Coturnix japonica: one gene and its partner. The protein of the gene in region 1 interacts with the protein of each later gene in a pairwise test. Links are inferred from orthologs where the notes say so. Each region holds a gene or a part of one and is shown on either strand. Other genes may lie near its edges.

Evidence for each region.
Region 2: the proteins of JADE1 (region 1) and YJU2 interact in a two-hybrid assay, tested with the Homo sapiens proteins (2 studies listed by BioGRID and IntAct). The two-hybrid records come from large-scale screens. The link is inferred for Coturnix japonica from reciprocal best matches to the Homo sapiens genes JADE1 and YJU2.

What each region holds. Positions count from the first base shown.
Region 1 is NC_029519.1:30,507,690-30,511,500, forward strand, and holds part of JADE1 (protein Jade-1), read left to right. Parts: intron 1-1,478; coding exon 1,479-1,636; intron 1,637-3,811.
Region 2 is NC_029543.1:756,192-760,102, forward strand, and holds the start of YJU2 (splicing factor YJU2), read right to left. Parts: upstream 2,747-3,911; 5' UTR 2,659-2,746; coding exon 2,635-2,658; intron 2,462-2,634; coding exon 2,361-2,461; intron 1,866-2,360; coding exon 1,721-1,865; intron 1,513-1,720; coding exon 1,378-1,512; intron 1,225-1,377; coding exon 1,043-1,224; intron 810-1,042; coding exon 689-809; intron 1-688.

The DNA of each region.
Region 1 (3,811 bases):
GAGGAGTATGTGAGTATTGGGAAGGGGAAGAGGTGACTGGATAGGCTGCATTGTAAGGCAGATAATAGTTTTAAATAGTCTTGAAAGTATGATTAGCCATCAGGTTTGTTGTTCCCCTGAAATACTTCCCCAAAAGCATAGATAATGTGTTGAGATTTCAGGTGTGTGACTAGTGTGTGACTAGTGTATGACAGAAGTTGCTGTCCTTGGGAGGCCTGCCTAATTAGACACTTCCTCAGCCATATGCAGCTGCTGGCTGGAATTAATGTAAAACCACCATTGTTTTGGGACTGGTTGGAGGCCCAGGAGGTTGTAACTTTGCTCTGTTAGGATCCCCATAAGAGTCCAGGAGTGCTTTTTTTTTTAATAACTGTGCAGTGTGGGGCTGGGTAGATGCCTACTGCCTTCTTGTCTCAGTGGTGCTCACCTTTGTTGTAGCTTCGTTGTTTTTTAATCCTTTCCTTTGAACACAACATTTTATAGTAACAATGTATAGCGCTGTGGTTGACAGCAGCCTTGCCTTGCAGGGAGAGCAGGGTGGGGAGAGCTGGACGATGGACAGACAGGTACAGACTTGTAGCTCTGACACCATTGATACCATTCTTTGCTCTCTGAAGTGCTGACAGGCCATGGCAAACGAGTTGTGGCTGAAGCACCACAGCAGTGGCACACCATGACTGCTACAGGAGCGGATCTCTTTGATTTCACTCTGTGGCTTATGGAAGATGGCATCACTGCTTGCAGATGACTGCTAACCCAGTTGTTGGCAAAGATACTGCTGGCTTTAGAGGTCGATGCTTTTGCAAAAGCAAAGTAAAATGACAGCTTTGGTGTCTGTAGCTGACAGAGTAGCAGGCACATCTGCTGAACATCAAGCTACCACCAGAACTCACATCTGGGATTGTTCTGTTTATCTTTTGGGTTATTGTTTTAAATACTGGCAAGAGTATGTGGGAAGAGTCATTTAAATAATAGCAGGAGTCATCTTGGTAGTATTTCCTCTTGTATTTGGTCATGGTGGAGTCATGCCTTGATTTCCATCACAGGGAATTTATAGAATGCCTTTGGGTTAGTCAGAGCTCCAATAGATGGCTTGTTTGTTTGTTTGTTTTTAAGAAGTAGTTTGAGCAAATTGAGTCTTCCTTATGTTGCTGATCTAGGACTAAAAGCTGGTGTGGTGTTTATTGTAGCCAAGAGGGAGGTCAAGTTGGGTAGCATCATGTGTCCAGTGTGGGGGGAACACTAGGACTCACAGAGGAGGCAACTCAAGTCATCACGTCAGCATTTGCACCTTTTGCCAGCCCTTTTTCTGCAATGAAGCTAAACTTCTGTCCTGCAGTGGGATGGGTTAGTTGACTGTTGATACAGTGACCTTATTATGTGCTGCGCTCCATGGTTACCCTGGAGCTGTGAATCATAGAGTGTAAATATCAAATGTCAGTGTCTCTATTTTTCTCTCTTGGTCACTCTCTTTGCAGGTGTTCAGAACGGACCTGATCACTGCCATGAAGTTACATGACTCCTTCCAGCTGAACCCTGATGAATACTATGTGCTGGCAGACCCCTGGAGGCAGGAGTGGGAAAAGGGAGTGCAGGTGCCAGTTAGCCCAGGGACCATCCCAGAACCAGTAGCCAGGTATAGTTTGGAGGAATGTAAACAAATACATACTTATGCTAGCAGCTTATGTCTGTGTTGCTTTGGTTTCTTGAGCTTTATTCCACGTTATCTAGCTAGGAAAAGCAATGTGTCTCAGCTTTTTTGAATGGTCATAGCAGTCAAGAATTGGGTCTTTCTGCCAATGTGTTGAAATATTAATGCCAGAGAATCATTTTTGGCCTGACATTAGGATGAAGGGTGATGACAAAGCCTTAAAAATACTTTCCAGTTTTAAACCCAGGCTTGATCTCACTCATCATTGCTGGGAATTTCTTGTATGATGTGTCCTGTGCTTACTTCCAAGCCATAGGTTTCAGGGTGCAATTAGGCAAGCCAGAGTTAAGGGCTAGAGAAAATACAGATTTTTTCCTTGTTGTTTTATATTATTTTTTGTCATTTTGTTTACTAACTTAGAACGTTGTTGTTCATTTTAGCTGTTGAAAGAACCGTCCAGATGTGCATGTAACAATATGTTAATGTGAGATTTTCCTGCTCTTGTCCAAGAAACCCTTATTTTCCTTCCCTTGTTTGTTACACTGGGATGTTGTTTTCTTTTTCAAATGAAACAGTCCACTTGTAGGGGCACGAGCATTTTGTAGCCCATCTCTCTTTTTTACGCTTAGTTAGGACTGGAGTTAGAAGAAGTGAGGAAAGGATTATTGCCATTTATGCAGGCTAGATCTCTGAGTAAGTTCAGTCTGGTGTGTAAAGCGTTACTAAATGACACACCAGTGCCAACAGGGCCAGCACAGTCTCTGACACACAGCAAAAAAATCTTATGGAATACAACTTCTATTAGGGCTTTAACTGGCAGCTTTAGCATTGGAGTAGTGGAACTACAGGAAGATTTGTTAGTGCTTTCTGCATTCTCTGCATAAACCTGTATGTAGACTGCTGCACAGCCTCACCAGGTCTGTATGGTGAGGAAAACCTGCCTGCATAACAGATGAGCCCTTTCCTTCTTTCACTTTCTGAAGGATCAGGCCTGGGGCTCTGAGGAGAGCTTAGCACTGAGAGGAGAACTCAGAATTTCCCCGTCTGTTATGTACTTCCAGGGCACAGGAGCATCCAGTTTCCCCCCTTCACACACTTGCACCTTGCTTCACATTGACATCACACACTACCTGCATAAATGTCCACACGTTGTACCAGCCTGCTCGCATTCTCACTGTATTCTCTTTAAAGCATTTTCTAAGTCTGCTGGAGGGCCAGGAGACCAGTGAGCTTTATTAAAAAAGAGGTCTTCCCAGGTGTTCAACCAACCTTTATCTGCCTTACATTTGAGGAGGTAAATGCGTGGTTCTGTCAGGTCCAGGTGCTCACTGAAGAGGGAGCCATTCACTCTGAAGAGCCAGTGGGGAATGTGCTCTGGAATGGGGAGAGGAAAAGAGGGTTTCCAGAAGTTTGATGCCAGCACTGTTTTTTGGTGCTGAGCTGTCCTGAATGGTTGTGTTGGTGAATACCTGCTGCACAGCAGCTTTCTGATGCCAGAAAATTATCCTTTTTGTCCTCTTACAGCATACTTAGGAAGCCCTGCCAGAGTAATGCTGGAGTCCTGGAACTGTTCTGTGGGTAACTGTGGGAGGGAGGGTTAAGGTTACTATACATTAGATCAGCAATAGTCAGATAGTAGCTGGTGTAGAACAGGAAGGAAAATGTGGTACAGAGAGCTTGATCAGGGTTGTGAGAGAGAGTCCAGCAGGGTTATGAGAGAAGTGAGACCATGTGGGGCCTCGGTGAAAGCATGTGCTCAGACAGAAGATTTATTTCAGTGTCCTTTTTGCTATGTCACAACTTTTATAGTTCATTCTGCCACAAAAATAAAGAGATGAAGGTGGTCTGTTTTAAGACCAAATTACCTTTGCTTATTTCTTTTGTGCCACTACAGTATCATCTAGTCAGTGTGTGCAGCATGCTGCCCAGAGGTTATACTTGCAATGTAGAGAGGTACTCAGGGAGGAATTATGGTACAGAAGATTCAATGAGCAGTGCCTAGTTTAAAATGAATTCTCCTTGGGATGCGGTAGCCTGTAATATTTTAATACTGCAGAGTATAACCTGTGATAGCCCTGGAAATGATGCCGTTAGCGAGGCAATATCATTCAGGTTCTTATTCCGCCACAAATCCCTTTGGCACCATAGAAGCTCAGAGTT
Region 2 (3,911 bases), on another chromosome or scaffold:
TTAGGGGGGTGTGGGGTTGTGATGGGGGGGCACAGGGAGAAGGGACACTGCAAAACAACACGGGCACACAAGAAGGGAGCTGAAGAGCCGCAGGGCTGTGCAGGTCCTATGGCCAAACTGAGCTCCCCTGTGCCCATAGTGCAGCACAGGGCAGAGGAACACAGCTGGGATTAACCCCAGCCTGGCTTATAAACATGGCTGCTTTGATTCGTCCGAATGGACAGGGGTCCCCGCGGGCACGGATCGACATCACAGAGCAGCAGCGCAGGGGGCCCTGTTGGTGGGGATAATCCCTCCCTTGCAAGGCAGGCACTGAAAGCTCTCTTTTGTCCTGCCTGTCTCTAACACGGACCGAAGGGAAGCAAAGGAGAGGCTGCCCCATGCGGCTGATTCACTCCCAGTCACCTTTGGAGGGCTCAGATTGTACCTGAGCGGGGACTGAGACCTGGGGAAGGCTGAAGGGGAAGGGATGCCTCGTCCTAAGCTCCATCGCAGCTGATGCCGCCTCCTTTGTCAGCAGCCACAGACTGAAATCACCCATTGATCCCTGTCTCCTCTCGGCCCAGTGCACAGGATGCGTTTTCTGAGCTGCTCATGCGTGACGGGCAGCAGGGACAGAAGGAACAGTGCAGAGCCCAGGGCGGCAGAGGAGGAGCAGCGGGTGGATGAGCCTCAGCCCCCTGCTCACCTCCTGCAGGACATCTGTAGGCCTTGATTTCACCGCACGTTTGGTTCCTGGCTTTGCAGGCTCTTCATCTGAGTCGGAGTCCGACAGCAGCCGGCGGTTCTGGGCCTGCTCCAACATGGCTCTGCAGGGACAGAGGGCAGAGCTGGGGGTGAGGGATGGTCCCTGTGCTCCCTGCTGGATGCTGCTCCCCACTGCTGGAATTCAGCACCAGGACCCAGTCTATGTCCCACACACACACAGCCCTCAGGCCCTGCCCTCACTGCACAGTCATTGGGGTGCTGAGCAGATGGTAAGATGGAGCCCTTCCCCATAGGGCTGGTTTCACACCCATGGCAATGCTTCCAGCCCGCTCACTTCATCTCCTGCTCATCCTCCTCCTGCTCCCTGCGTTTCTGCTCCTCCTCGTATTCCTTGTACTGCTGCAGCATGGCCTCGAAGTCAACGTTTGCCTGGCGCTGGTTGAGCTCCTTCAGCTCCTGTAGGTTCTCCAGAACTTCCATCTCCAGTTTGGAGTCCTTGGTTCGGTTCTCCAGGACCTAAGGAACCAGAAGGAAGCTGGGTCTACACAAGGCAATAAGGTCCAGCACAGCCTCATGAGTGTGGAGAAGCGACGAGGCGACCTGCTGAGCAGGTACAGCCAAACAGGGGAGGAGAGAGCTTTGCCTTCTGCAAACAGCATTTTCCAGTACCTTCATGGGGTTGTTCAGCTCCTCCTCTTCCCTCTCCTTCTGCATCCTCTTCTCCTCTTCCTCCAAGAGCTTCTCAGCTTGGAAATTCCGAGTGGCTCCATGTTCCATGGTGTAATCCGTGTTCTCAGGGTCTGTCTAAGGGAAAAGTAAGGCAGCAAATCTTGGAGCAATTCCACCCCAGTCACAATGTGGGGCAGACAAACACCTGCAGCCTCCTGCTCTGCTCCAGATGGACTCAGGGCTCAGCCTGTGCTGGGACAGCCGTGTTCCCCATCAGACTGAGCTCAGACCCACATCACCTCCCCATGAAGCAGAAGAGGAGAAATCAGTGCCAATATTTCACCTTGAAAGTGGTCTCTGCCAGACACCATGTGCACTTGACGTAGAAGCGGAATATGGGCAGCCCCAGATACACCTCATTCTGAATAGTCTCCTTCTGGGCATTGAACTTCTTCCACTTGTAGATGTATTCACCGCACGTCTTGCAGCTAAAGGAGGAGCCCAACATTAAGAGATAAAAGAGACAGCACAGACCATGAGCACATTCACCCCTTTGGATACGTGGAACCTCCAGCCCCTCTATCACCCATACAGTCCATTCCCTCTCCCTCCTTCCTTCCCTTCTCTTCCTCCTTTCCTTTCCCTTTCCCTTCCTTTCCTTTCCCTTTCCCTTCCTTTCCTTTCCTTTCCTTTCCTTCTCTCCTTTCCTTTCCTTTCCTTTCCTTTCCTTTCCTTTCCTTTCCTTTCCTTTCTTTCCCTTCCCTTCCCCTTTCCTCCCATTCCCTTTCCCCTTTCCTTTCCTTTCCTTTCCTTTCCTTTCCTTTCCTTTCCCCTTCCCCTTTCCCTTCCCCTCCCTCTTCTTCCTCCCTCCCCTCCCCTCCCCTCCCCTTCCCTCTCCTCCCTTCCCTTCCCCTCCCCTTCCATTTGCTGGCTGTATCCCTCAGCTCTATGTAGGGTCTATAACACCCCCCCACCCCTCTCACCGCATGTTGAACGGGGCCATGAGTCGCACCACGTACTGTCGATCCTTCGGGAGCTTCAGCTTCGGGATCTTGGCCGGATCGAAATCCGGCGGGTAATATTTCTACACGGACACAATAGAGCGGCGCACAAACGGACACACGGTCACCGATCAGCTCCTGGCCGGGCCCCGAGGCCTGTCCCAGCCCCCAGAGCGCCCCGTGCCCACCGGGAGCCCTGAGGACGATGTGGGGCCCCCATAGACCCCCCAGGGCACCCACACAGCCCCCAACTCACGTTTAAGACTTTCCGTTCCGACATGGCTGCGCACCGCTCTCAGCTCACAGCGTACACGGAGCTGTCCGCCGCCGCCCTCCGCTTCCGGGATAGGAATCCCGCCCCCTCCGCCTCTCATTGGTGGAGAGAGACGCGGCCTGAAATGATCTCTCGTTTTATTGGTTGATTCTGACGCCAATCAAAGAGCTCAGCCCACTTCCCGGATGTTAGTGTGCCACAGCTTAAGAATCCGCCCTGCGCCGCGGCCTGAAGAAAGGTTCCGGGGTGGAGAGGGGACGGGACGGAGCGGGGGGTGAAACGGGACATGGGGGGGTTGGGCCAAATGGGAACCGAACCGGGACCTGGGGCCCAGGTCAGAACATGGGGGGGGCACAGAGGCTGTCAGCAGCGTGGGGGTCTGGGATGTAGGGCCCAGTGTAGGTGCTGGGGGGCACAGCGCCCTCCTTAGGGACCGTGTGATCTATAGGGCCGATTAAAGCCCCCCTGCCCTCCAGCTGCCCCCACACTGTGCCGGCCCAGCTCAGCGCCCCACAGCATGTATGGCTTTACAGAGAACATCACAAGTGTGGGGCGGGGGCAGAGTCCCGGGATGGTTCATTTATGGGCTGTGTGTGACCAGAGATGGAGCCCCTCCGGTACTGCCCATGCTTGTGTGCCTCAGTTTACCCCATCCCATCCCATCCCATCCCATCCCATCCCATTCCATCCCATCCCATCCCACCCCATCCCACCCCATCCCATCCCATCCCCAAATCCATCCCATCCCATCTCATCTCATCCCACCCCACTCCATCCCACCCATCCCATCCCATCCCACCCCATCCCCATCCCATCCCATCCCAATCCCATCCCATCCCATCCCATTCCATCCATCCCATCCGCATCCCATCCCACCCCATCCCACCCCATCCCATCCATCCCATCCCATCCCACCCCTCGCTGCCTCCCTTGCTCTGAAGGTTGGAAACTCCCCCGGCTGTGCCTGAGAACCAAATCCAGCCTGGGGATGGAGTGACTCAGTGCCTTTGTCTCAAAGGCAGTGATGTCATCTAACCCCTGAGAGCCTGCTGTCCCTCCCCAGCAGAGCCCAGGATGGGAACCTGCCGGCTCCAGCACCTCCGAGGCTCCTGGGCCAACCCTGTGCTTCATCAGCAGGGTGGGAGAGCCCAGTTTATCCCCACAGGCCCCACTGCACCCCACAAAGGCAGCAGCCCATGGCCTGGTGCTCTGTCCTCATCGAGCCCCCCAGCCCAGCACTCCTGTCCTCGCTTTGAGGC